Linked DNA regions of Anolis sagrei. The protein of the gene in region 1 purifies or fractionates together with the protein of each later gene. This does not show direct contact. Links are inferred from orthologs where the notes say so. Each region holds a gene or a part of one and is shown in the gene's direction. Other genes may lie near its edges. The genes, in order: FBXW7, SOX9, MED13 and FMR1.

Evidence for each region.
Region 2: the proteins of FBXW7 (region 1) and SOX9 purify together in Homo sapiens (affinity purification with western blotting; 4 studies listed by BioGRID and IntAct, with this or other methods). This does not show direct contact. The link is inferred for Anolis sagrei from reciprocal best matches to the Homo sapiens genes FBXW7 and SOX9.
Region 3: the proteins of FBXW7 (region 1) and MED13 purify together in Homo sapiens (affinity purification with mass spectrometry; 5 studies listed by BioGRID and IntAct, with this or other methods). This does not show direct contact. The link is inferred for Anolis sagrei from reciprocal best matches to the Homo sapiens genes FBXW7 and MED13.
Region 4: the proteins of FBXW7 (region 1) and FMR1 purify together in Homo sapiens (affinity purification with mass spectrometry, with the first as the bait; 3 studies listed by BioGRID). This does not show direct contact. The link is inferred for Anolis sagrei from reciprocal best matches to the Homo sapiens genes FBXW7 and FMR1.

Annotation. Positions count from the first base shown.
Region 1 is NC_090025.1:50,919,864-50,927,247, reverse strand, and holds the start of FBXW7 (F-box/WD repeat-containing protein 7), read left to right. Parts: upstream 1-4,362; 5' UTR 4,363-4,984; intron 4,985-7,384. UniProt on the Homo sapiens protein: Substrate recognition component of a SCF (SKP1-CUL1-F-box protein) E3 ubiquitin-protein ligase complex which mediates the ubiquitination and subsequent proteasomal degradation of target proteins.
Region 2 is NC_090022.1:134,370,092-134,377,165, reverse strand, and holds the start of SOX9 (transcription factor SOX-9), read left to right. Parts: upstream 1-4,054; 5' UTR 4,055-4,659; coding exon 4,660-5,174; intron 5,175-7,074. UniProt on the Homo sapiens protein: Transcription factor that plays a key role in chondrocytes differentiation and skeletal development.
Region 3 is NC_090031.1:31,483,928-31,491,093, reverse strand, and holds the start of MED13 (mediator of RNA polymerase II transcription subunit 13), read left to right. Parts: upstream 1-4,166; 5' UTR 4,167-4,456; coding exon 4,457-4,522; intron 4,523-7,166. UniProt on the Homo sapiens protein: Component of the Mediator complex, a coactivator involved in the regulated transcription of nearly all RNA polymerase II-dependent genes.
Region 4 is NC_090030.1:30,073,882-30,081,358, forward strand, and holds the start of FMR1 (fragile X messenger ribonucleoprotein 1), read left to right. Parts: upstream 1-4,475; 5' UTR 4,476-5,521; coding exon 5,522-5,572; intron 5,573-7,477.

The DNA of each region.
Region 1 (7,384 bases):
ATTTCTTAAGAGTGGCTCAGCATCTCATTGTGCCAGAGCACAGTCTGTCCAGCACCTTCCAAGTCGCCCAGTCTTCTGTGTGCCCAGGAGGGAGTTTCTTATCTGATATCAGCCACTGATTGAGGTTCCGGGTTTTAACCTGCCACTTTTGGACTCTCGCTTGCTGAGGTGTTCCTGTGAGTAGCTCTGCAACTATTTCTTGACTTAAGACATTGATATGCTGGCTGATATCTGAACAGAGGATGGGCCTGAGATGTCAATGCCTTGGTTCTTTCATTACTGGCTGCTAGTTCCAGATTGATGTCAGGTGATGCAATGCCAGCTAAACATTGTAATTTTTCTAGCGGTGTAGGGCGTAGACATCCTATGATAATGCTGCATGTCTCATTGAGAGCCACATCCACTGTTTTAACATGGTGAGATGTATTCCGCACTGGGCATGCATATTCAGCAGCAGAGTAGCAAAGTGCAAGGGCAGATGTCTTCAATGTGTCTGGTTGTGATCACTAGGTTGTGCCAGTCAGCTTGCGTGTGATATTATTTCTAGCAACCACTTTTTGCTTGATAATTAGACAGTGCTTCTTGTAAGTTGGAGGATGGTCTAAAAGTAACTCCCGGGTATTTTGGTGTCCTGCAATGCCCCAGTGCTTCTCAGGTATAAGATTCTACAAGATTCCCTTCTATAAAAATAAACAGATCAATAAAAACTTTTCTTGGTGTCTTAGTTTTTAGACATGCATCTGGGGTTATTTTGGGCACTGATTAAACAAATTACATTGGATAGATCACATCAACTCTATTTTCTTTGATACGGTTATAGTGATTTTCCATCTATGAGCAGATGGTGACTGGTAGATGGCATATATTATGTATCTCAAAAACTAGAGTGGATGGGAGGAAACTGGTGTTATTTTTGTAACCAACAGGTCAAATATACCCAGAAACAACCAAAATATAACTTTGCATACCACTTTAAACAGAACTGGTTCACAGCCACAGAACAAAAACAGCTCACCTAAGAACTGAAAATTTGGAATTTTAGTCAGAGTTATCCTCAAAGGTCCACAGCCATCTTTATGTTCTACCTACTTTATCCTTCTCTCCTTACTGGTGTAATGTCTTCAGCTAAATTTTATAAACTCTAATTTTTGCTTAGTTTTACATTTTGGTGTGATTATTGGTCCCAACAGGCCAAGGGTCTAAAAATACATGCAGAAATGCTGAGCTGTGACACAACAGTATATCATTTTTGCAGAAGGAACAAATCAGTTTCCATAAGTGCTTGGAGAACACATTCTCCTCTCCACAGGATGACTCTCCATTGGGCAAACTTTACTGTGGAGCCAAGCAGCAGGCCAGCACTTCTCAACCTGTGGGTCCCCACGTGTTTTGGCCTACAACTCCCAGAAATCCCAGCTGTTAGGATCTCTTTCACACTAACTGACAGGTGCATGCAGTATTACATGGGTATTTTCCTTTTTGGCTGGGCTCTGTAATGTTTTAGAATAGATCATATTTGAAATTGGGAGACAGACCTGCCAAGATGAAAAGAGCACTTTCCAAGAACCATAGACAGTGATAAGGAGCATTTTCTTGGTTATCTCCTGCTTAATCTTTGGCCAAGTGAGTATTCCCCTTGTGATCGTACGTCCGAACATTTGGGAAAACTAGATTGTCTGACTTTACTCGGGGGTTAGCTGATACCTTCTTTTAAGATTAAGACCCTTAGCAGAGGAACTTTAGGCAAGGTGGAAAGATAATCAAAAGAGTTTACTGAAACAAGATGAATAAAGGATTAACTCCACCCAGGACTATAATAAGGAGGAGACTTTACCTAAACTACAAACCTCAGAATTCTGCAGGAGGCAAAAACAGGATTTTAAGTGGATTTTTTCTCTAGTGTGATTAAGTTTAAGGTAACATAATACATTACAAAAGGAGATTTTGCTGGTTGCAGTCATCTTTCTGGAATCTTTGAAAGTCTCTTGCCTCTGGTGCAAAGTGATGGTTATAAACTGTCTTAATCTTCCTTGTGAAGCTTAGGCTGGCCAAAAGCTTCTGTTGTCCTTTGGACTAATGGTATAAAATACTGCTAAATGCAGGTGCTAAGAATGTCTTTTTATTGATTGCTTGGCCTAGGATTACCAGACAATGCCCCAAGCCTCTAGTGTCTGTAGAGAAAGGAGGAGTTCAATAAGAGAGGAATAGGGAACTGGAATAGATCAACTAAGTCTGACCTCTGGGGGGGTGTAATGCTTTCTGTTAGCAAAAAGGCACAAGTAATAAATAAATAACTTTAATTATATCCCACCCTAGCTCCCCGAGGGGATCCTTTCCAAATTACTTTGAAAACTACAACTCCCATGATCCCATAGTATTGACCTATGGAAACAAAAAAGGTCTCAAACTGCATTAATTCTATGTAGCCATCATCCCACCACTGCTCAGTGAGGGATTGTTGTTGTTTATTTGTTCAATTGCTTCCGACTCTTTGTGACCTTATGAACCAGCCCATGGCAGAACCCCCTCTCGGCTGTCACAACCCCCAGCTCCTTCAGAGTCAAGCCAGTCACTTCAAGGATACCAGCCATCCATCTTACCCTTGGTTGGCTACTCTTCCTTTTGCCTTCCATTTTCTCCAGCATCATTGTCTTCTCTAAGTTTTCCTGTCTTCTCATGATGTGGCCAAAATACTTCATGTTTGCCTCTAATATCCTTCTCTCCAGTGAACAGAGGGGTTTTATTTCCTGAATTATGGACTGGTTGGATCTTCTTGCGGTCCAAGGCACTCTCAGAACTTTCCTCTAACACCACAGTTCAAAAGCATCAATCTTCCTTTGCTCGGCCTTCCTTATGGTCTAACTCTCACATCTGTAGGTTACTATCATTGCTTTAACTATGCAGACCTTTGTTGCCAGTGTGATGTCTCTACTCTTCACTATTTTATTGAGATTGGTCATTGCTCTCCTTCCAAGAAATAAAGGTCTTCTGTTCTCCTGGCAGCACTCTGCGTCTGTAGTAATCTTTGCCCCTAGAAATACAAAGTCTTTCACTGCCTCCACGTTTTCTCCCTCTATTTGCCAGTTATCAATCAGTCTTGTTGCCATAATCTTGTTTTTTTTAATGTTTAACTGCAACTAAGCTTTTGCACTTTCTTATTTCACCTTGGTTAGAAGGCTCAACTCCTCCACGCTTTCAGCCATCAAAGTGGTGTCATCTGCATATCTAAGGTAGTTAATGCTTCTTCCAGCAATTTTAACCCCAGCCTTGCATTCTTCAAGCCCTGCACATTGCATGATGTGTTCTGCATGCAAGTTGAATAGGTTGGGTGAGAGTATACAACCCTGCCGTACGCCTTTCCCAATCTGTTGTTCCATGGTCAGTTCGTACTGTTGCTACTTGGTCCTTATACAGATTCTTCAGGAGACAGGGAGGGACAGTCATTTTTAAAAGTAACTTCCCAAGTTCTCTAATAATGCTCTTTTCTCATGCTGTTCTCTTCAGCCACATCATATGTTCTTCTAAGGGCCCTTCCACACAGCCCTATATCTCAGAATATTAAGGCATAAAATTCCACACTATCTGAGTGTGGACTCAGATAACCCAGCTCAAAGCAGATATTGTGCCTTGATATTCTGGGATATAGGGCTGTGTGGAAGGGCCCTTTGAAGAACATATGGTGTGACTGAAAAGAACAGCATGAGAAAAGAGCATTATTAGAGAGCTTGGAAATGTACTTTTAAGAATGACTATCCCTCCCTGTCTCCTGAGGAATGTTTGATGACCAAGTAGCAACAGTACGAACTGACCATGGAACAACAGACTGGTTCAAGATTGGGAAAGGCGTTCATCAGGGCTGTATACTCTCACCCAACCTATTCAACTTGTTGTGTGGAAGAGGCCTTAATTGTCTGATCGAATTAAGGGGGGGGGGGGATCCTAGGAAAGTGTATTTCCTAAACTCTAGCCTTCCAGGAATTCTGAACTTCATCCCCCAGAATCCCTGATCATCGACCAAGGCAGCTGAGGCTTCTGGGAGTTGAAGTCCACCGACCTGGAGGACTATTCTGGGAATCGCTATAATCGAATCAACCGCGTTCGCCTACCGAGGGGAACGCGCAGGCGCGGAAGGGGTTAATATTTCCAGAGTCCAAATCCCCGACTGCGCCTGCGCAAGTCCTTGCGACGGGATTGGCTCGCCGCGTTGGCCTCTTCCAATCGCTTCACGGCGGCGTTTTCATCTCTTCTCCATACATTCCATAGAGACGCTGCACAGCCGTCGCAAAACCCTCGACGTCACCGCCTCGCGACGGAAACAGGAGGCGGGCGGAGAGGGCTGCGGTTGCCTGGTTACGGCTGGCGTCATTTCCCCGCGCCGTGCCTTGTCTTTTCCCCTCCCTCAGCGCCCTCGCTGCCTGTGTCTCTGTGGTGCGCGAGGGAGAGAAAGCGAGCGTCTCCGGAGCCACCCGCCGGCTTCCTTGCTTCCTTCCTTCCTCGCTGCCTCTCTTCGGGCGAGACCCAGTCACCCTCATGCCTGGGAGCCGGGCGGGAGCGCCGCTGAGCCTAGCCGCCGCCGCCGGGCTCCGCTTCCGCGCTGCCTCCGCCTGGCTGGGGCCCTAGCAGCGCCCGAGGAGAGGGTTTATGAGAGCCAGAGCCGGGCGGGGGCCGCGGCCCGACCCTCTCGCCGCCACCGCCGCCTCCTCCTCCGCCTCCCGCGGGGGGAAGCGGCGGGCAGCGCTCTCGGGGCAGAGGGGGCGGGCGCGGGCGGCCCAGGCGGCGTGGGAACAGGAGGCGGCGGCGGCCACACGCCCAGCCAGGGAAGCCGAACAGGAGGAGGAGGAGGGCCTCCGAGGGACCCGTCCTGGGCGCCTCCAAGCCTCCGGATCCCCGCAGGTCTGGGCGTGAAGCTCCTTCTCGGGCCCAGCAGGAAAGACCGCCGGGCGTCGCCGGTCCTGCTGCTGCTGCTGCTGCTCTCGCTCCCGAAGTGAGTAATTCTGAGAAAGGGATGTGGAAGGGAAGGGGAGTGTTCCCGGTGGCTGTTTTCGACCTTCCAGGAGGTGCACGTGGGGTGGACACTCGCCTCCTCCTCTTCCTTTTCCTCCTCCTCTTCCTCCTCCCCTTCTTTCTTCTCTTCCTCTACCTCCTCCCCTTCATTCTCTTCCTCGTCGTCGTTTTTCTCTCTTCCTCTTTTTCTTTCTTCCTCCTCTTTCTTCTCTTCCTCTTCCTTCTTCCTTCTCTTTCTCCTCTACCCCCTTCCATCATTTTCATTCTCCTCGTCTTTTTTGTCTTCCTCCTCTTCTTCTCGTTCCTTTTCTCTTCTCTTCCTCTACCCCCTTCATTTTCTTCCTCGTTCTCTTTTTTCTTATCCTCTTCCCCTTTCCCTTCTTTCTTATCCTCTTTCCCTTTCCCTTCTTTCTCCCTCCTCCTTCATTTTCTCACTCCTCTTTTTTCACCCCTCCTCTTATTTCTTCTCTTCCTCGTTTTCCTCCTCCTCATCCCTTTTCTCTTGCTTCTCCTTAGCATCCCCCCTTCATTTTGTTTCTAATTTTTCTTCTTTCGCTTCCTCCCCCCCCTTCATTTTCTCTCATCTTTTTTCCTCCTCCTCTTTCTTTTCGTCCCTTTTCTCTTTCTTCTACTCTACCTCCCCCTTCATTTTCTTCCTCTACTTTTTCTCTTCCTCCTTCTCTTCTTCTTCACCATCTTTCTTCTCTTCCTCTACCCCCTCCCCCATCATTTCCTTCCTCCCCATCCTTTTTCTCTTTATTCTCCTCTTCTTCATTCTTCTTTCTTCTCTTCCTCCTCCCTCTTCATTTTCTTTCTCGTCTTTTTTCTTTTCCTCCTCCTCTTTTTCTCCTTGTCCTTTTTCTTTCTTCTATTCTACCTCCCCCCTTCATTTTCTTTCTCTTCTTTTTTCTCTTCCTCCTTCTCTTCCTCTTCACCATCTTTCTTCTCTTCCTCTACCTCCTCCCCATCATTTCCTTCCTCCCCTCTTTTTTCTCTTTATTCTCCTCTTCTTCATTCTTCTTTCTTCTCTTCCTCCTCCCTCTTCATTTTCTTTCTCATTTTTTTCCACTTCTTCCTCCTCCTCTTTCTTCTTGTCCTTTTTCTCTTTCTTCTACTCTACCTCCATTTCTTCCTCTTCTTTTTTCTCTTCCTCTACCTCCTCCCCCTTCACTTCCTTCCTCCCCATCCTTTTTCTCTTTATTCTCCTCTTATTCTTCATTCTCTTCCTCTTCTTTATTATTATTTATTTCTATCCTGCTTTGCTCCCAAATTGGGACTCAAAGCGGCGAACAACAAATAAAAAGCAAAGACGTAACATACCATAAAAATAATCAGTACCAACATGAGCATAATCAAAAATTATAAAAAACCCACATCAAACTTAATTAGCATCTAACAAAAAAATAAAAACATTCAATAGATTAAAACCCCATTCTTTCGCTTTCTTCTCTTCTGTCTTCTCCTCTTTCTTCTCTTCCTCTCTTTTTTCCTCTCTCCCCTCCCCCACCATTTTTGTCTTCCTCCTCTTTTGTGGGGTAGGGAGAGGAGGGGGCTGCCCTGCTAAGCAACCTTAAGCACTTCAGATGGAAGACTGGAAGTTCTCCAGGTCCTTGCAGTTTCAGCTTCCATTTTATTCACTTAAATGTGTGTTCTAAAGTTAAATGGGTGTTTTCTCTGACCTCTTGTATGAAGAATCATGCAGGTAAAGTTCTGAATAAGAGGAGCACTCTGCAAGAACTCTTAGTGTGTTTGTTTGGAGTTTAATTTATCCAGCAATTTCAAATCTTTGATACATACAGTTTTCTAACCCCTTCATGCAAAATAGACTAAAGTCCCCATTTACCCTTTAATGCCATTTCAAATGAATGTAGAAGAAAGTGGTTTCACTGTGCAGATTATTCCATAGAAAATCCGGGAACCCGTTTGGGGCCTGGATAGTGATTCCACCAACCACATGAAGGGTTTTCTTTCACGTGCTTACATGGAAGTTTCTTGCCTATCCCTTGCAGTTTGAAGTTAGCTTCGGATTGCATTAAATGGTCAGTGTAGATGGGGGCCTCTGCCTCTTGTTTCATATGCGCCTCACGTTGCAGGGTTCTCTGCACGGTCTGCTGCGCTAAGTGACCCTCCCTTTCAGCCGGGAAATCTCTCTCTCTCTTTCCCCTCCCTTCCCTTGTCTCTTTGGGGTCAGGCGGAAACCATTGGTGTGTCTTGAGGGTTCTTTAAATGGCTTTGTTGGGTAGTTTAATGAGAAGAGAACTGGTCCAGAGAGCCAATCAAATGAGCTCGGACATAGTATTTGTTACCAGAGTCTGTCTCTTTCTCTCCCCCCCCTTTCCTTTTCTCAGCAACAGAAAGTAGTTTAGATTCTTCAGACTCT
Region 2 (7,074 bases), on another chromosome or scaffold:
AAACTATCTCGAAGGGCCCTTCCACAGAACCATATAACCCAGAATATCAAGGCAGAAAATCCCACAACATCTGCTTTGAACTGAGTTATCTGAGACCACACCGCCATATATCCAAGTTCAAAACAGACAATGGGGGATTTCATTCAGCTGCGTGGAAAACGCCATGTTCATTGTTATTTTTAAAGCATCTTTTGAGGAAGGGGCCAGCCAAGCAAGGCCAGGGCCCGCCATCTTGATCAGCTGCTTCGAACCACCCCTGGAGTCCGACTTGAAAGCGCATGCGCGGAGAAGGCTCTTCCCAAGGTGATGCCGTCGGGAGGGCAGCGCGCCGTTCCCTAGAACGCTCGGGCTCTCGGAGGGAAAGGCGGGAAGCTAGACTCGCGCATGCGCACGGCTTTCTCTCCCTTCACTACAAAGGCAACAGCAAAAGCAAGGCGATGTCTGCCACGCGCGCCCGTTCATGAACCAAATAGCATTTCCTGGAAGTGTTTGGGTGCATCTACACTCTAGAACAGGCATGGGCAAATTTCGGCCTTCCAGATGTTTTGGACTTCAACTCCCACCATTGCTAACAGCCTCAGGCCCCTTCCTTTTCCCCCTCAGCCGCTAAGGAAGGGGCCTGAGGCTGTTAGGAATGGTGGGAGTTGAAGTCCAAAACATCTGGAGGGCCCAGTTTGGCCAGACCTGCTGTAGAATGATAAACATCATTCGACGCCACTTTTAACTCCCATTGCTCAAAGTTACGGAACCAAGAGAGTTGTAGTTTGACACAGTCTTCTCCACCAAATCGTGCCCGTTCCTCACCAAACTACAAATCCCAGAGTTCCATAACATTGAGCCAGGACTGTCAAAGTGGTCTCCAATAGCATCCCTTTGAGATCTTTATCCAGAAAGTTGAGAGTGAAGCTTTATATCTTCACTCCCGGTTGGTGTAACTTTGCGGCTGGTGACAAGGGAGAGGGGTCCCCACCGGGAATGCCGAAATCTGTGCTAAACCTCCGCGCGTGCCAGCTCACATGCGCGGATGCCGGCGCCTTCGCCCCCGGCCTGGACGGCGCGCGGCGCTCCGGCCCGCTTCTGGCGCCCGTTTCTGAGCCTATGCTGCCCCCTCTGGACGGATGCGGGAATGGCAGGAAAGGTGACCTATTGAGAGAGAGAGAGAGAGGGGTAACTGTGAAAAAGTGCCAAGGCGAGGCTGCGAGGAGCGAGTGGAAAAAGCGCACGGGAAGCAAAGCAAAACAAAGCCGAGCCGTGGCGTGGCGTCTGTCTTCCTAGGCAAGGCGACATGACAGCTAATAATTTAAAGGGGTTTGCAGGGCGGGAAGCGGACTCCGTCCTTGCCAAAGCGGGGCCGTGCGTGGGACGGGCGAGGCAACCCACGCGTCACGTCTCCAGTCCAAAGGAAAGAGGGATCATCACAAGACTGAATCCATCCCGAGCGATGGCCATTTCTCTCCCGCCCCCGCCACCCTTTGGCCACAGCTAACCAAGGCCCCATCTAGGACGCCATAAGTCAGAAGACCCATATCATGCACTGAACTTCATTATATGAGTCTATACCAGGCCTAGGCAAAACTTCAGCTCTCCGGGTGTTTGGACTTCAATTCCCACCATTCCCAACAACCTCAGGAGGGAAGGGCCTGGGGCTGTTAGGAATTGTGGGAGTGAAGTCCAAAGCGCCTGGAGGGCTGAAGTTTGTCGAGGCCTAGTCTTTACTGACTATATAATGCATTTTCAAGCTGCATGATATGGCAGTGAAGACGGCCTTGGTTACTTGTTAAACCTGTCATTTTATCTAAAGGTTATATTCATTGGCATTCCTTCTCATCCCCAAGTTTAAAACAATGCTGCCCAGGAGATGTTGAAAAGTCCCAAAATCTGTAGAATTAGAATTTAAAATAATACACACCAAGCCTGACCCCTAGCCATATACATTTCTGAGAGTGACCCTGAAAAATACTAATATTAATACTACTAATGACACAGCAATAGAAGAAAATGTATTCCCCCTGACTGACAAGGACAAGAGCTTGGCTATTTAAGGAACATTGGCCTTGGCACAGTTTCCCAATAAACCAAATTTGCAGGTTTGGGCTTTTATTTTGCGCATTGAGGTCATGTGTTTTATCAAATTGTGATATCAACGTTTTTAGACACGTTTTTTTCCCAAAGGGACTCGAAATACTATGGTGAATTTATTGGGAAATTTGTCCTTATGGGTTCAGTGGAGCTCATGCCCAAATTTGAAGTCAGGATGGAATTCTAACCTAAAAATACCTGACAGCCATTGTTGACATGCTAAGTCGAAACATCACGTTTCAATATTGGGTACTGGAGAAGGACATATCCTGAGGGGAAGGGTATGGCAGTCATTGAAAAATAAAGTAGCAATCCATCGTGACCTTTGTCCCTTACATTCAAAAGATGAGCATCATAAGATGGATCTACACTATTGTTCAAACTGAATTATATGTCAGAGTAGATCCAACTTCATTTGTGAAGATATATAAGGCATTCTGGACCCTAAGGGCCCTTCCACACAGCTCCATATCCCAGAATATCAAGGCATAAAATCCCACATTATCTGAGTGGGGACTCAGATAACCCAGTTCAAAGGAGATATTGTGGGATTTTCTGCCTTGATATTCTGGGATATAGGGCTGTGTGAAAGGGCCCTAGAACTGTTTTATGTTCACAACATGGGCATTTTAGTTTGCTTTGAAAGGAGGTGGCTTGAGGATATATAACACTATATTACAAAAATCAGGAAATGTGCTGTTCCTAGTTTGAAATTTCCTGTTTAATGGTGTGGTACTTACTTTGAAAATAGCTGTTACGCTCCAGAAACTTCATTTTTGTGGCTGCCACAAACTATGTTGAATTGGATCAGACTCAATGAGATATCCATTGAAAAACTATTGTAAAATGTGCTGCCAGGTGTCCCTCAAAGACAAAGTTTTTTTGCAGTTTAGTAGACTGCTTTCATGTTTTTATGATAGAACCAAATAGGAAATGACATTGCATTGATGTATTTTATGTTGTTGAATATGCAGCATTAAATATTGCTATTCTGTACACCGCTCTGAGTCTCCTGCAAGGGTGAGAAGAGCGGGATATAAATATGGGAAATCAATCAATTTATAACCTAAGAACATAAATGGTGTTACATAGTGTAATCTAAGGGCCCTTCCACACAGCCCTATATCCCAGAATATCAAGGCAGAACATCCCACATTATCTGAGTGTGGACTCAGATAACTCAGTTCAAAGCAGATATTGTGGGATTTTCTGCCTTGATATTCTGGGTTATATGGCTGTGTGGAAGGGCCCTGGAATATATGGCAGTGTGGACTCAGATAACCCAGTTCAAAGCAGATATTGTGGGATTATTCTGCCTTGATATTCTGGGATGTATGGCTGTGTGGAAGGATCCTAAGGCATTCTGGACCGCCAAATGTTTCTTTCCTTGTGTTGCCTTCTTCTTGGCATTTTTCAGGATGGCAAGAGAAGTGGGATGAGCAAAATCAAAACAAACCCTCCCATAGAATAACAATAGGTGATTCACTCTTTTCTGCCTTTCCCTCCTCCTTTTCAAGAGACTGGCTTTGAAAAGGATGGAGGGAAAGACAGAAAAGAGCAGAAAAGTTGTTTTCTCTTCCTTCCCCCTTTCTGGGAAAAAAGGCAATATTGGCGAAGGTGACATGGCTTCAATGAGATTGGGTGCCCTTTTCTCTTTGCTCTGAAAGCATCAAGAGAAATCTGCTTAGATCAACATAGGAAAGAAAGAGAAATGGACCCGGGAGGGACAAGAAGCGTTTGGAAGTCCAACGCGCGACAGACTTTCTCTTTCCCCCTCCTTTCTCTCTCTCTCTCTTTCTCGCTCCCTCCCTTTTTTGAGCTCATTTCTCCCCTCCTTCCCAAACTTTTGAAGGGATGGGAGGGAGGGGGGAGTTAGAAATTAAAAAAAACTTTCCAGCCAATCCTGGCCTTGCCAGCCTTAGAGAAGCAGGGCCGCCATTGGCTGGGATTTTCTAAGGTGAAATAGCCGAGGAGAGTATTTATTAAAGAGAGAGGCGAGAGACGGAGGAGAGCCGAGCTCGGAACCCAGTGGTTGGTTGGAAGAGAAGTGGTGTGAAGGGAGAGAAGAAGAGAGGAGGAGGAGGAGGAGGAAGAGGAAAAATAGCCCTACCTTTCTCCCCCTTCACTCCAAACTTGCGAGAAGGAACTTTGGGAAAGGAGTGAAGAGAAAACGAGAGAGGAGAGCCGCGGGAATCAGAATAATTAACCCAGCCCCCTTCTCCTTTCCTGCAAAAGGGGGAAAAAAGAGAGAGAGACTCGGGTTGAGGGAACCCTTTCGAAGAGAGGGAGAAAACGATCACTCCAGGCTTGGAGGGACTTTGGGGAAAGGGCGGAGAGAGGGGAAAGAGAGGGGATTCGATGCCCGCCTCTTGAGCTCCGGAGTGGGCCGAGTCTTCCCCGCTCGACTGGCTCTCTCCTCGCGCCTTCTTCCCATGCCGTGCCGTGCCGGCTGCAGCAACTAAAGGCGCCCTCTTCACCCCTTCATTCTCCCTTTTTGTTTTGTCTCCTTGCTCCCCTTCGCCTCCACCCCCTCTCCCTCTCCTCCTCTGCCTGCCTGCCTGCCTCCCTCTCTCTCCTCGCATGAATCTCCTGGACCCCTTCCTCAAGATGTCCGACGAGCAGGAGAAGGCGCTCTCGGCGGGCGCGCCCAGCCCGGCCCTCTCCGACGAGGAGGCCTCTTCCTCGGGCTCGCCCTGCCCCTCGGGGTCCGGCTCCGACGCCGAGGGCAGCGGGAGCAGTAGCCACGGGGGCCGCCCTCCCCGCCTCGCCGACGGAGGCGCCTTCGCCAAGAGCGGCGACGCCGAGATGAAGAAGGAGGCCGGCGTTGGAGGAGGGGGCGGCGGCGTTGGAGGCGGCGAGGAGGACAAGTTCCCCGTCTGCATCCGGGAGGCCGTCTCGCAGGTGCTGAAGGGCTACGACTGGACCCTGGTGCCCATGCCCGTCCGCGTCAACGGCGCCAGCAAGAACAAGCCCCACGTCAAGCGGCCCATGAACGCCTTCATGGTCTGGGCCCAGGCCGCCCGGAGGAAGCTGGCCGACCAGTACCCGCACCTCCACAACGCCGAGCTCAGCAAGACCCTGGGCAAGCTCTGGAGGTGAGCAAGCGCCGGGCGGAGTGGGCTCTTTCCCCCCTTCCCCCCTCCCTCCCTGTAGTTTTAAGGGGTCTTTAGCCTTCCCCCTGCTAAAGAAAACTGGGGTCTCACCAAAGTACAACTCACTCCCTCCCTGTAGTTTTAGGGGGTCTTTAGCCTTCCCTGCTAAAGAAGGCTGGTGGTGTCTCATCAAATTGCAACTCCCAGGGTTCCATAGCATTGAGCCATGGCAGTTAAAGTGAGGTCAAACTGTATTCATTCTACACTGTAGATGCACCCAGTAGCCCAGGGATGGAGATGGGAGAGGGAGAGAGATCCAGGATTGCCTGGAAGGGGAGGGGGAAGAACCCTCTAGAGCAGGCATGGGCAAACTCCGGCCTTCCAACTCCCACAATTCCCACCAGTAGACTAGGGACGGAGATTAGAGAGTGGCCCAGGATTGCTTGGATAGAGGTGGGGAGAGAAGGGGAAACCCTCTAGAGCAGGATGGGCAAACTCCAGCCCTATGGGTGTTTTGGGCTTCAGCTCCCATAATTCCCTCCAGTAGACCAGGGATGGAGATGGCAGTGGGAGAGACAGAGGGCAGGGGGGAGGGAAGGGGAAGCCCTCTAGAGCAAGTCTGGGAAAACTCTGGCCAGGTGTTTTGGACTTCAGCTCCCACAATTCCTCTGGCCCCTTCCTTCTCCCTTTCTCTTTCCCACTTAAGCAGCTGAGGAGGAAAAGAAAGGGGCATGAGTCTGTTAGGAATGGTGGAAGTTGAAGTCCAAAACACTTGCCCAGGCCTGCTCTAGAGGCATCCCATGCTGCAGAATTGACATGCTTTCATACTGATTTCAAGTGGCATGGCTTATGGAGTGCAGCAAGCTCTTCAGCAAACTCTGGAGGCTAGCCTTTGGGGGGAGGAAGGAGAGCAGGGAGAGGGAAGAGCACCTACACTGTAGAATTCACATGCTTTCACAGCACTTTAGCTGCCTCAGCAAACTGGGGGCAGAGGGGAGGGCTGTGGATCCATAGTCTAGGATTAACATGCTTTGACACTGCTTTAACTGCCTCAGCAAACTGGGGGTGTGGCTGTGCACCCACACTTTAGAATTAACACACTTTGACACCGCTTTAATTGCCCCAGCAAACTGGGGTGGAGTGGGAAGGGGAGGAGCACTCTAGGGCACACCATTCTCATGCATTCTATAGCAGAGCTTTCCAAACATGTTTTAGGCATGCATCATTTCATGACACAGTAGTGCAGGTTTACTAGAAAGCTGGAGGGTAAACCCACCTCTCCTAAAAGATAAGGACACATACATATATTGTAGTAATAAACTGAATGGGGACACCACATATCTAATGGAAACCTTTCATTTATATCTTTTAAACATATATGAATTGGTGCCTATTTTACATAGACTCAGAGATTTCCCTTACATTTGTGCAGCTCACCTAAATGCTGCAGCCAACACACGAACATGTCGTGACACACAGTTTGGAAAGCTCTGATCTAGAATTACTTGTTGCTATGGCTCATAGAGCTCAGCCAACTCTGGGGGTGAGATTGGAGGAGGAATGAGAGGAGGAGGGAGAGGGAATGCATCCACACTGAGGAGCCCTCCGGGGTTGTGCATCCATACTGTAGAATTGACATACTTTCACACTACTTGTATTCACTATGGCCATGATTATGACCTTATCTTCCAATTGGCTCTGCTAGTGAGGGGACCTAGGAATCCAGTCCCAGCAACTTAAAAAGGGCTACACATAGAAGAAACAGTTTGACACCACTTGAACTGACATGTTATGGAAACATGGAGTCTTTAGCCTTCCCTGCTAAAGAAGGCTGGTGTCTCACCCAATTATAACTCTCAGGATTCCATAGCATTGAGCCATGGCTGTTAAAGTGGGGTCAAAC
Region 3 (7,166 bases), on another chromosome or scaffold:
AAGGAGGCGGGACGCGCCGCCACGTGACAGGGCGCTCCTCCAATGGGCGGCGCGGGAAGGCGAAGGCAGAAAAGGAGGGCAGCCAATGGGAGCGCGATTTCCCCCTCTCGACGACGCTGGCCTGCTGTTTGGCCGCCATTAGAGGAGAAAGAGACAAGAGGGAGGAGGAGGAGGGAGAGGAGGAGGAGGGAGAGAGAGAGAGAGAGGGCAACATCACATCATCCTCATCATCCTCGGATCCAGGCCTTGTTTCTGAGGAGGAGGGAGGAGAGTAAGTCCTTGGGAAGGGATTGAGAAGAGGGGAAGGAGGGGAGATTGATTCATAACCCCCCCCCCTCACCCTTGTTTTTGGTTTGTCAACCTTTTCAGCTGCCGAAGGAAGAATGGGAGAGACTCGCTGAGGAGAAGGAGGAGAAGGAGGAGAAGCCACCTCTCAGGATGCCGAGGCTGGGCAGCCGCAAGCAGAGGCACCGCTGAGGAGAGGGGAAAAGGAGGAAGGCCCTTCTTTCTTTCTGCCTACCTGTCAGGGGAGAGCGGCCTGGCTTCCTGTCAGGAAGAAGAGAGGGAGCACAGGCCCCAAAGAAGCCCTTCAGGAGAGGAAAGCGAGCAGGAGAGAGAGACTCCTCAGAGACACACCTATAGACACTGATACTGAGGCACAAACACCTTCACAATTCCACACCATTTTGGGACAGCGGGGTGTGGAATTCCCTTCTCCTCCTGTGTTTTCTTGGAAACAGGGAGAGAACACAGGCCTGAAAGAATCCCTTCAGGAGAGGAAGGAAAGAAGGAAGGGAGCTTCCCTGGAGAGGCACCTAAACATCTTCAAGAACCCATAATTTCACCCCATTTTGGGACATCGGGGTGTGGAATTATCCTCTCACCTCCTGTGTTTTCTTGGAAACAGGGCCTGAAAGAATCTCTTCAGGAGAGGAAGGAAGAGAGCTTCTCCAGAGAGGCACCTAAACATCTTCAAGAACCCTTTCCTCTCACAATTCTACACCATTTTGGGACATTGCGGTGTGGAATTCCCTTCTTCCCTCTGCTTTGGAAAAAGACAAGCTTTTAACTTTCTCACTTGGGAAACAGGAAGAGAACACAGGCCTGAAAGAATTTCTTCAGGAGAGGAAAGAAGGAAAGAAGAGGGCTTCCCTAGAGAGGCACCTATAGACCTAAACATCTTCAAGAACTCTATAGATCTAAACATCTTCAAGAAGCCTTTCCTTCCATAACTTCACCCCATTTTGGGACATCGGGGTGTGGAATTACCCTCTCACCTCCTGTGTTTTCTTGGAAACAGGGAGAGAAAGGATTCCTTCAGGAGAGGAAGGAAGAGAGCTTCCCTAGAGAGGAACCTAAACATCTTCAAGAACTCTTTCCTTCCATAACTTCACCCCATTTTGGGACATCGGGGTGTGGAATTACCCTCTCACATCCTGTGTTTTCTTGGAAACAGGGAGAGAACACAGGCCTGAAAGGATCTCTCCAGAAGAGGAAGGAAGGGAGCTTCCCTAGAGAGGCACCTAAACATCTTCAAGAACCCTTTCCTCCCACAATTTCACCCCATTTCGGGACATCGGAGTGTGGAATTCCCTTCTCTCCTCCTGTGTTTTCTTGGAAACGGAGAGGACACAGGCCTGAAAGGATCCCTCCACAAGAGGAAGGAAGGGAGCTCACCTAAACATCTTCAAGAACTCTTTCCTTCCATAATTTCACCCCATTTTGGGACATCGCTGTGTGGAATTCCCTTCTTCCCTCTGCTCTGGAAAAAAAGACAAGCTTTTAACTTTCTCACTTGAGAAACCTCCTCTTGGAAACAGGAAGAGAACACAGGCCTGAAAGAATTTCTTCAGGGGAGGAAAGAAGGAAGGAAGAGGGCTTCCCTAGAGAGGCACCTATAGACCTAAACATCTTCAAGAACCCTTTCCTCCCACAATTTCACAACATTTCGATACATCGGGGTGTGGAATTATCTTCTCGCCTCCTGTGTTTTCTTGGAAACAGGAAGAGAACACGGGCCCAAAGGAATCCCTTCAGGAGAGGAAAGAAGGGAGCTTCTCTAGAGAGGCACCTAAACATCTTCAAGAACCCTTTCCTCCCACAATTTCACACCATTTTGATACATCGAGGTGTGGAATTACCTTCTTCTGCTCTTGAAAGAGACAAGCTCCTCGTTCTGATTTCTTGAACTTTCTCGCCTTTTCTTGGAAACAGGAAGAGGACACAGGCCTGAAAGAATCCCTTCAGGAGAAGAGAAGGAAAGGAAGAAATCTTCCCTAGAGAGGCACCTATAGACCTAAACATCTTCAAGAAAGCTTTCCTTCCACAATTCCACAGCATTTTGATACATCGGGGTGTGGAATTACCTTCTCCCTCCGCTCTAGAACTTTCTCACCCCCTGTGTTTTCTTGGAAACAGGAAGAGAACACAGACCTGAAGTAATCCCTTCAGGAGAGGAAGGAAGGAAAGAAGGAAGAGGGCTTCCATAGAGAGGCACCTATAGACATAAACGTCTTCAAGAACCCTTTCCTTCCACAATTCCACCTCATTTTGATCTCTTGAAATAGAATTATCTTCTCTAGAAAGGAAAAAAGAGACAAGCTCCTCGTTCCGGTTTGTTTTGAACTTTCTCACTTGGAAAACCACCTCTTGGGAACAAGAAGAGAATACAGGCCCAAAAGAATCCCTTTTAGGAGAGGAAAGAAGGAAGGGAGCTTCCATAGAGAGGCACCTAGAGACATTTATATTTATACATAAACATCCTTCCACAATTCCACGCCATTTTGATCTATTGAAATAGAATTATCTTCTCTCTCTAGAAAGGAAAAGAGACAAGCTCCTTGCTCCTGTTTGTCTAACTTTCTCACCTCCTCTCTTTTCTCGTGAGTCCATTTAAAGAAGGAGAAGGGAATATAAGGACTCTTTGGTGGTTCTTTCAACAACAAAAAGCATCCAGAGACTTCTGGCCTAGCAGATTGACCCAACGGATTCGTCTTGATCTTCTATTTCTTTCATTCTCCGCGCCTTTTTAAATTATTGTCATTATTATAATTATTGGAAAATACCCCTATTTTGGTTCAGGGGAAGAAAAAAGCAGACATCAGAAGGAAGTGAACAAGGGAGAAGGGATTTTGTCATTTCTGCCGAGGAATTAATTTTGGGATTTTGAGGAAAAGGTGTTTTGTTTTTTTCTCTTCTTCCCTTCGAAAGAAGTTCTTTCTCCCCATTTTTTCCTGTCAAGGAAAAAGGACCCTCCAGTGTGGACTTGACAAGAGGGGAGAAACAAAACTTTTCTTTTGGCTGTTTTTCCTTTCGAAAGGTTCTGTCAACAACCTGAAGCAGAAGTTTTGTTCAACTACAGTGTCAGAAAAATCAGAACTTTTTCTTTTTGGAGGAGTGTTTGCATCTTTTCAGTGTCTCTGGGGGGTCTTGAAGTTCAGGCCTTGCACTTCCCAAACCCAAAAGCAAACCTTTCTTCCTTGGAATTCTCTTCTTTTGGGTCAGACCCTCTTCCTTTCGCACCGCTGCATCAGGAAACTCCCACCCTACAGACCCCTCTGGATTGGGCCACAAGTTTGAATTATTGGAAACTTTGGAAGACACTTTACGCAAACAGGAATTCCCCACCTTCTGGGAGAAGGAAAAAAATTAAATTTGGGGCAAAGGGGAACGTTTGATCCACATTCAACCCATCGAGGAGATACCAGACTAGAAAGTTGTCCCCTTCTCATTGACTTAACTGAAAATATGTCTATGTCTGGCTGAGGAGAGAGACGAGAAGAAGGGGAGGGGGAGAAAAAAGAACAATCTGCTGCATTTCTTCCTCTCCAAGATGAAAAACCTCAAGATGACCATTTGATCCCATATATTGCATTTCTGCTCGTGAGGAGGAAAAAGAGACAGAGATTCCTGGATTTATTTCCCACCCGCCTTTCAATCGCTGGATTATTTGTGTCTTTCTTTCTCTCTTTCTCTCTCCCCCCCCCCTTTTTCCCATTTCTGCCCCCCTCCTTTTCGCCTTGAAGTAACCCCAGCCTCCTTTCTCTAACCTCCTCTCTATTTATCTCTTTGGGGTTCGGAAATTGAGCTCCTCAGAGGAAGAAGATTCCTTTCTTCCTCTCCTTTCCCCTCCCTGGTATTTGATATCATTAAATAATAAATAGATATTATTATTATTATTATTTATCCCGATCTATTTGTGTGCTGTGGCGCACACGCCACCGTGCAACCCCCTCCGAAAACTCCTCCCTGGGCTCTTCTTGTGGTTGTGTGGGTTTTAAAAAAGGAAAAAAAGGGGGCCCTTTCCCTTGCTGGCTGGTGTGTGCGAGAGTGTGCTGTGTGTCCCTCCCTTCTCAGGCTGTGTGCCTTCCTCTCTCTCTCTCTCTCGCCCTGTCTGTCTCTTTTCTTTCTTGTCGGAGGCTTGTGGGATAATGGCGTGTGGGTTGTGGCTGTGAGGATGAGTTCTTGCTTCGTACCCAACGGGGCCAGCCTGGAGGATTGCCATTCCAACCTATTCTGTCTGGTGAGTCGGTGTGTGGCTCTTGGGAGCCTTTCGGGGTGGGTTTTGGGGGGCGATTTGAATCAACCCAAAGGGTGGATGATGGTGGAGGTTGAAGGAAGGGGGGGAAGAGGAGGAGAAGGAGGAGGAAAGGTTTTACGGATCAGAGATAAACCTTGGTGGACGGGAAAGTCTGGGGTGGGAGGGAGAAGAAGGGAGAGGAGAGCTCACCAGCAGAAGGGAGGAAAGGAAAGGAAAGCAAGGGAAGGAGGGGAGTGAATAGGAGAGCGAGCGAGCAGCCATTTTTAGCATTGCTCCTGCTGGAGTAGGCCTTGCCAGACATTTTTCCAGCTCCCTCTGTGTACACACATGTCTAGATCCACACACGCACATATTTGTGTACATGTACACCAGCCCTTGTTTTTCTTTCCCTGATTGGTCTTCGCTTTGCCACCATTCCTCGGATTTATATTTTTGCCTCCTTCTCTCTCTCCTTTTGTTGTTTTTGTTCTCGATTCTCCTCCTAACTTCCATTTTTTTTCCACGCTCCTTCACCTCTTTCATTTCTGGCCTGTCTTCCCTAATACAAAGATTTCGGGTGTGTCTTTTTGATAGTGACTTTTTCCTCAGCTTTTTCACCCCCTCCCCCCAAAAAAAACCCACATACACATACCAAAAAAAATACACACCAAAATGCATTTTCTGTTTACTAGGCCAACTTTGCTTGATTCCTTAGAAATAACAAGGAAAACCAAACTGTGAAAGTGACACAAGAGGTCTTGGGGGGTTGTCGGCAAAATCCCTTCACTGGAATTTGGAGATTTATTGTCGAAGGCTTTCACGGCTGGGATCGCTGGGTTGTTGTGAGTTTTCCTGGCTGTATGGCCATGTTCCAGAAGCATTCTCTCCTGAAGAAGCATTTTCCTAGTTTCGAACAGCTTGATGCTAATCAAGGTGGCCTTTGGTAACAGTCACACTTGCCTCCCACCCTGGACATCATTCCACAGATATATCAACCTCACTTGCCTAGTTTCCAACAGACCTCAAAACGTCTGCCATAGATGTGGGTGAAGCGTCAGGAGAGAATGCTTCTGGAACATGGCCAGACAGCCTGGAAAACTCACAACAATCCAATTTGGAGATTTTGCTTTTTCGACTTACAGATGAATGGGAGTAGCAACCCTTTCTTTTACATTGCACCCTTGTCTTGATGTCTTTATTTGTTGGTTTGTTTATTGTTGTTAGGTGAGCCAGTTCAGTCTTAATTGAGTTAGGATCCAGTTGAACTTCCTGCCCAGTCTAGGTTTTGGTGACCTCTGTCTGATCCCCCCCTTAATGCAAATTGGTAGCAGATTTTGACTGGTTGGTGTTATTTAATCCTGGAAGTGGAATATAATGAAATTGATCTGCTTATGTGTAGTTATGGGTATGTTCTGCAGGATCACAAAACTGACCTACTCCCATGGGGTTGCCTATGTGTTTAATGTATTATGTCCCCCAGCCCCCCCCCCTTTCCAAAAACATAAACCGTTGCAGATAGAGCTAGTGTAGTGGGAGCTTCCTTATTGGAGTTAAATAAGCAGGAAATCCTTCATTGTCTGCAAAAGAAGTGGAGTATGCACTTCCCCAATCGCAGGGTGGTGAAGTTGAACCCTGGACTGAGCCCTGCTTGCAACTTGCTGCTCCCTTTGCTTTACAAACAAACCAAAACCGAGACTGGTTGAAACATTACCATTAGTATTTGTGATTTTCTCAAAAAGTTGTGTTTCTGGATGGAGGAGAGCAAGAAATATTTGTTTAAGCTGTCTTGAATGACTTGGGTTGTAGTTAAAATTACCTAAAGTTGTCCCAACAGGGTGTTTTTGAAAACTAGATCTTTCTTAGAGATTCTCTGGAAGGGAATTTTATTTTTATTGTGTGTGTGTGTGTGTGTGTGTGTCAGGAGCGACTTGAGAAACTGCAAGTCGTTTCTGGTGTGAGAGAATTGGCTGTTTGCAAGGATGTTGCCCAGATGTTTTGATGTTAAGTTTTAATAACTTCTTGCATTGGTTTTTAGCTTCGATTTCAAAATTTGTTGGAGTTTGAAGTCTACAACCCTTTGGGTTGGATGTGAATTATGGGACTGGGTCCCAATATTGTGATCTGGATTTGTATATACACTTTGTGCTGGTCATGAACTGGAATAAAGTTTTGATTGATTGACCATCCTTGTGGGAGGCTTCTCTCATGTCCCTGCATGGGGAGCTGGAGCTGACAGAGGGAGCTCATCTGCATTCTCCCCGGATTCGAACCTCCAACCTGTCGGTCTTCAGTCCTGCCGGCGCATGGGTTTAACCCATTGCACCACCAGAAATAAGGACAGTTGTTATTTTTTTCAGTGGTTGTCATTTTTCAGCAGAATTCTTGACTCCAAAAATTATTTGCTTCAGGGTTGTTGTTATTACTTCTGACAGTAAACGACCTATCTGAAGGTGGGTCAGTTAATGTTGAGGAATGTATTAGACTCTCAGAATACACATTTTCAATATGGGGGTATTCAACAGGATGCCAAAAAGTAGTGATGTGCTCTTTGATGCTTTGTAATTCTAGAATGGACTTGAATAATCAAAACCACTGGTTTGAATGGAATAGAGGTTGAGGCTACAGTTCACAGACATTTGTCATAAGA
Region 4 (7,477 bases), on another chromosome or scaffold:
AACATTAAATATAAAAACATTAAATATAAAAACATTCATATAAAAAAATTCAACATAAAAAATTCAACATAAAAACATTCAGCAGTGACTATGGCAAAATTTGATCCGGTTACTTAAATGCACAGCCAAACAGCCAAGTCTTGAGCGCCTTTGCAAAAGGTCGCAACTCCGACATTGCTCTAATATATGAAGGCAATGAGTTCCACAGAATTGGAGCATTGATCGAAAAAGCTCTATGCCTTGTAGTTTCCAAATGTGCCTCCCTAGGACCCGGTATGTAGAAGAGATTTTCCTGGGTGGATCGAGGTGACCACTGATGGGGAAAAGGAATGAGGCGGTCCCTAAGATATAAAGGTCCTTGGCCATTTTGAGCTCTCAATGTCAGGATCAGTATCTTGTAAGAGATCTGTTGTTCTATTGGTAGTCAATGCAGTTGTTGCAGAATCGGTGTAATATGAGATCTTATAGATGATCCTGCTAGCAGCCTGGCTGCCACATTTTGGACCATCCGAATCTTCTGGGTCGTTGACTTCGGAAGGCCAGCATATAAGGCATTGCAATAGTCCAACCTCGTGGTGACTGTTGCGTGGATTACTGTTGTCAATGCTTCTACCGAAAGGTAGGATGCCAATTTCCTTGCCTGGCGAAGATGAAAAAAGCCCTGCTTACTTATGGCAGTGATCTGGGCCTCCATCGTCAGCTATGAGTCCAACACAACCCCAAGGCTTTTAACAGTGGCAGACGGAACCAGAGCTTCCCCATCGAAATCAGGCAGAGACTGGGTTAATTCTGGTGGCTGGCCGGCCAGAGTATCTCAGTTTTTGCAGGATTGACTTTTAGTCTGCTTGCTCGTAGCCAACTCATCACTGCTTCCAAACACAGCTTAAAGTTCTCAGGAATCGCAGTTGTTCCAGGTTCGAGACGCAAGAGTAGCTGGGTATCATCTGCATACTGGTAGCACTCTATGCCAAAGCTCCGCACCAGTCCAGCAAGTGGTCAGATGTAGATGTTAAATAACAGGGGCGAGAGGATAGCACCCTGGGGAACTCCACAGCAAAGGTAGGAGCTTTCAGAGCTTTGGCCTGGCCACTCCACCCTCTGTGTCCAGTCCCGGAGGAATGAATTGAACCAAGCTTTTTCACTTTTAGAACAATGTACTCCTCTGTTCTGGGATTTACCGTTTTTCAACCACACTTGGCACACTGAACTCCCATGAGCAACAGATAATACTGGAAGGGTTTGGTGGGCATTGACCTTTCGTTTCGGAATTGTAGTACACCTACATCCAGAGAACACTGTGGACTCCAGCAATGATGGATCTGGACCACACTTGGCACGAATATGAAAACAGATAGACTTTGGGGAAAATACACCTTAACATTTGGGAGTTGTAGTCCCAGGGATTCAGTGTTCACCTACAATCAAAGAGCATTCTGAACCCCACAAACGACAGAATGGGGGCAAACTTCCCACACAGAACCCTCATGACCAACAGAAAAAACTTTACCCCATCCACTACAACTCCCTTCACCAGGGCAAGATAACGCAATCACAGTCCTCCTGACAAAGAGCCATCCTCCCATACATATGGATAGATGCATCTATCTATATATAAATGCTCTGTGCATAAGGAGTACCTTAAAAACAAAAGAACCAATGAACAAATTCACTCCAAATTTGGCAACAAAAGGTCTCACAACATAAGGAGTGACCATCACTCAAAAAATTATGATTTTGTAATTTGGGAGTTGTAGGTGTTGGGATTTATAGTTCACCCACAATGAAAGCGCATTCTGAACTCCATCAACGATGGAATCGAACCAAATTTGGCACACAGAACTCAAGAAAACGTAATCAAAGTCCTCCTGACAAAGACCAACCAGCCATAGATAGATAGAGATAGATAGATATGATTCACACACACAGAGATATAGTATCGTAGATTTATTTATTTACTTTGCTTGTATACCGCAGTTTCTCAGCCCGTAGGCGACTCAACGCGGTTCACAACAAGAGCAAAAAGTCAATCCAACACATACAATATTTAAAAACCATTAACAGCATAATATACAAATAATGACACATCAATAACAACACATTAGCGTCTCGTAACTAGAATCGTGATCCAAATCGTCATCCATAATACCGTTTCCTATATTCATCATATTCATTGCATTGTTTATCCGAACGCCTGTTCAAACAGCCAGGTTTTTAGTTTTCTTCGAAACACCATTAACGAAGGGGCTGATCTAATGTCCATGGGAAGGGTGTTCCACAGCCGAGGGGCCACCACAGAGAAGGCCCAGTCCCTCATCCCCGCCAGCCGTGCTTGCGATGCAGGCGGGATCGAGAGCAGGGCCTCCCCAGAAGATCTTAGAGTCCTGGTGGGTTCATAGGCAGAGATACGATGTGAAAGATAGATGTGAAAGATCTCGCGCGAATAGGCGACAGAATGAAGGGGGGGGAGTCTACGCGCCTGCGCAGTCGCCCCAACTGACTGGTCTCTCGCTCACTACCTCCCTCCCGTCTGGCGCTATATATCGCAAGAGTTTACAGTGTATCTATCCTTCCTCGTCCTCTCCTCCTCGTAATCTCGTGCGAAGAGGTGACAGAATGGAGGGAGTCGGGAATCGTGCGTCAGTCTGTGCAGTCAGGTGAAAGACAGATGTGAAAGGGACCCCTAAAGAAGGACAATAATATGTTGCATGTTCCAGAGTAGGCAAACCAGACAATCTCCACATCAACACTGACAAAGAAACAAGAAGAAATACTGTTTACCCACAAGCAGAAAGACATTACATATATTAGAAATCAAAAGAACCAATGACTCATTACTTTATTTTCCAGATCACCAAACTGGGCCACAGCAATGCGTGGCAGGGTCAGCTAGTTTTCTACAAAAATGGCCATTACTTCTGTAACCACATGCTCTGCTTGGCGAATGATTGCCGCTCTGCATCCTTTTCAGCTGAATCGCTAATAAACCTCGGTGGCACTTCTTTCAACTTGGTGAGACCTTTTACTGGGAAAAATCAGGGATTGGGTGCTTCTCTGTCTCGCCAGGGAAAAAGAACTCTTTGATGAGTCTAATTGGTTTCTGCCTCCTGGCAAAGACCCCTAATTCCTGCTTTGATTCTATGATTCTATGAAGGGGCCTGAGGCTGTTAGGAATGGTGGGAGTTGGAGTTCAACACTCCTGGAAGGCTCAAGTTGGACCATGCCCTGTGCAGACACTAAAACTCAAAGGGCCACCAGTGCGCATGCGCCTGCTCCTTCCTCCTCGAACTTGGTGGAAGCGCCTCACTCCGCGCTGGGCTGCAGTCCATGCCTGGGCGACAGAGTCTCGCGTTATTTAGCGAACATAGGGATTCTCCCCGATTCTGTCACCTCTTCACGCGAGATTACGCGGAGGGGAAGGCGACGGAGTATATACACTGTGTGTGTCTCGCGATACTTAGAGCCAACGGGAGCGAGAGTGTGAGCGGGTGACCAGGGTTGACCCGGCTTTTAGAGCGACTGCGCAGGCGCGGGCTGGCGGACTCCCCTATTATGTCACCCCGTCGCGCGAGATTACGCGGAGGGGCGTATACATACTGTGAATATACTCTCGCGGTACCGAGCGAGTGAGCCTGACTGCGCAGACGCACGATTCCCTACTCCCTCCATTCTGTCACCTCTTCGCGCGAGATCACGAGGAGGAGAGGACGGGGAAGGATAGACTGTTTTAACTCTCGCGATATATAGCGCCAGACGGGAGGGCGGTAGTGAGCGAGAGACCAGTCGGTTGGGGCGACTGCGCAGGCGCGTAGACCCCCCCTCATTCTGTCGCCTATTCGCGCGAGATTACGAGGAGGACAGGACGAGAAAGGATAGACACTGTGTATACTCTCGCGATACTTAGAGCCAGACGGGAGGTAGTGAGCGGGGAGGGCAGGGAGTATAGACGCTGTGGGTATACTCTCGCGAGACTTAGCGCCAGACGGGAAGTAGGCGTGTAGACTCCCCACTTCATTCTGTCACCTATTCGCGCGAGATTACGGGAGGGAGAGACCAGAGCTAACCCGTCTGTTGCGGCTACTGCGCAGGCGCGTATTCAGACTGCCCCACTCATTCTGTCACCTATTCGCGCGAGATTACGGGGAGGAGAGGACGAGGAAGGATAGATACTGTGTATACTCTCGCGATATTTACCGCCAGACGGGAGGGAGGTAGTGAGCGAGAGACCAGTCAGTTCGGGCGATTACGCAGGCGCGTAGACTCCCCCCCCCTTTCATTCTGTTGCCTATTCGCGCGAGCGGAGGGCAGAGAGTATAGATGCTGTGGGTATACTCTCGCGAGACTTAGCGCCAAACGAGAAGGAGGCGCGTAGACTCCCTCCTTCATTCTGTCACCTATTCGCGCGAGATTACGCGGAAGGGACGGCAGGGAGTATGAACACTGTGGGTATACTATCGCGATACTTAGCGCCAAACGGGAGGGCGTGAGAGATCAGAGCTAACCCATCTGTTGCGGCGACTGCGCAGGCGCGTAGTCAGACTGCCCCACTCATTCTGTCACCTATTCGCGCGAGATTACGGGGAGGAGAGAACGAAGAAGGATAGACACTGTGTATACTCTCGCGATTCTTAGAGCCAGACGGGAGGGAGATAGCGATAGACTTATCTGTTGGGGCGACTGCGCAGGCGCGTAAACTCCCCCCCTCATTCTGTCGCCTATTCGCGCGAGATTACGGGGAGGAGAGGACGAGGAAAGATAGACACTGTGTATGCTCTCGCGATACTTAGAGCCAGACGGGAGGGAGTTAGCGAGAGACTAGTCTGTTGGGGCGACTGCGCACGCGCGTAGACTCCCCCCTCATCCTGTCACCCATTCGCGCGAGATTACGCGGAGGAATATAGACACTGTGGGTATACTCTCGCGAGATTTAGCGCCAGGCGGGAGCGGGAGGGAGTGAGCGACCAGGGTTGACCCGGCTGTTGCGGCGACTGCGCAGGCGCGCGCTGTCCGGCCCCGCCCACCGCCGCTCGCCCGCCATTACGGCCTTCTCCTCCGCCGCCGCCGCCTCACGTGAGGGCGCCAGGCCTTTCATGTGGACACAGCGGCGCTCCGCCTCCTCCTCCTCCTCTTCCTCCTGCTTCCTCGCCGCCGCCCGCCAGCCTCTCTCCGCCCTCCTTCCAGGCCTCGGCCGCGTTTTCCCGCCGCGCTCCCTGGGCCTCCGCGGGCCACGGCGACCACCACGACGCCCAGCCGCGCCGAGGAGGAGGCCAAGAGGAAGGAGCCGCCGCTTCCTCCGCCGCAGCCGCCGCCGCCTCCCGCGCCCCGTCCCGCGCTGCGCCGCCGCCACCTGAGGGACGCCGAGGCCGGGCCCAAGAAGGGCGGCGGGGCGGCCATCACGACGGCGGCGGCAGGGGGGCGGCTAGGCCGCGGGGGCGGAGGGGGCGGCGGCGGGCCCCCTTCCTCCTCCTTCTCCGCCGCCGCCGCTTCCTCCGCCTCCACCGCCGCCGAAGAGGACGACGACGACATGGAGGAGCTCGTGGTCGAGGTGCGCGGCTCCAACGGGGCCTTCTACAAGGTACGCCGCCCCCCCTCCCTTCCTTCCTTCCTTCAAAAAGTCCTTACCGGGAAGCATTAACAAGAAGGCGGGATTGTAGGTTTGTCGGGCTATATGGCCATGTTCTAGAAGCATTCTCTCCTGACGTTTCGCCTCCACCTAGAACAGTGGTTCTCAACCTGGGGGTCGGGACCCCCAGAGGGGTCTCCAAAGACCATGAGAAAACATAGTATTTTCTGAGGGTTCTGTGTGGGAGGTTTGTCCCAATTCTATCGTTGGTGATGTTCAGAATGCTCTTTGGTTTAAGTGGTCCACGCTCCTGTTACATCCTGAATAGACTACTGCAACGCACTCTACGTGAGATTGCCCTTGAAGACTGTTCAGAAACTTCAACTGGTCCAGCGAGCGGCAGCCAGATTGCTCACCGGAGCGACATACAGGGAGCACACCACCCCCCTGCTGTTTCAGCTCCACTGGCTGCCGGTTCAGTTCCGAGCACAATTCAAGGTGCTGGTTTTCCCCTACAAAACCCTGTATGGTTCCGGTCCAGTGTATCTGTCTGAACGTATCTCCCTCTACGTCCCACCCCGGAATTTGAGATCATCTGGGGAAGCTCTGCTCTTGACCCCACCGCTATCCCAAGTGAGGCTGGTGGGGACGAGGAGCAGGGCCTTCTTAGTGGTGGCCCCCCACCTGTGGAACTCACTCCCGGGGGAAATTAGGGCATCAACATCCCTCCTCTCCTTCAGGAGGAAGGTAAAGACGTGGTTATAGGACCAGGCCTTTGGGCAATCTGACAACTAGATAAGGACAACCAGACGAATAGGACTGACAGGACTGACAATTGTGGAATTGGAAATTGAACTATGAGGTAGCGAACACTGACCGTCAATGAGGAGAAATTGGTTTGTATTGGTTTAAAGGTTATAATGCAAGAATTGTTGTTTAATTGTTAATTGATGTTATTTGTTTTATTGCTGTTATGTGATGTGGGCATCGAATTGTGCCTTGCTTTTGTAAGCCGCCCTGAGTCCCCTTCGGGGTGAGAAGGGCGGGGTAGAAGCAACCGAAATAAATAAATAATAAATAAATTATAAATCCCTGCAACTACAACTCCCAAATGTCAAGGCTTACTTTTCCCAAACTCCACTAGTGTTCACATATGGGCATATTGAGCATCTGTGCCAAATTTGGTCCAGATCCATCATTGTTTGTGTTCTTTGGATGTAGGTGAAATACAACTCCCAAACTCAAGGTCTATACCCACCAAATCTTTCCAGTATTGTCTGTTGGTCATGGGAGTTCTGTGTGCCAAGTACAATTCAATCATTGGTGGAGTTCAGAATGCTCTTTGATGGTAGGTGAACTATAAATCCCAGCAACTACAACTCTCAAATGACAAAATCAATCAATCCCCCCTAAACCCACCAGTATTCTAATGTGGCCGTATCAGGTATTTGTGCCAAATTTGGTCCAGAGAATGAAAATACATCCTGCATATCAGATATTTACGTTATGATTCATAACAGTAGCAACATTACACTTACGAAGTAGCAACTAAAATAATTTTATGGTTGGGGGTCACCACAACATGAGGAACTGTATTAAGGGGTCGCGGCATTAGGAAGGTTGAGAAACACTGATCTAGAAGCATTATCTCCTGATGTTTCACCTGCATCTATGGCAAGCATCCTCAGAGGTTGTGAGGTGTGTTGGAAACTACCCTACTGGGGTTTATATACGTGTAGAACAGTGCTCACGGTGGGAGAAAGAGCTCTTGTCTGTTTGATGCTGTTTGTTGGATGCTGCAATTGATCACCTTGATTTTTTTTATTTTCTATATTTATATATTTATTTACAATATTTGTTTACGATATTTGTATACCGCTTTTCTCACCCCGAAGGGGACTCAAAGCAGTTTCCACA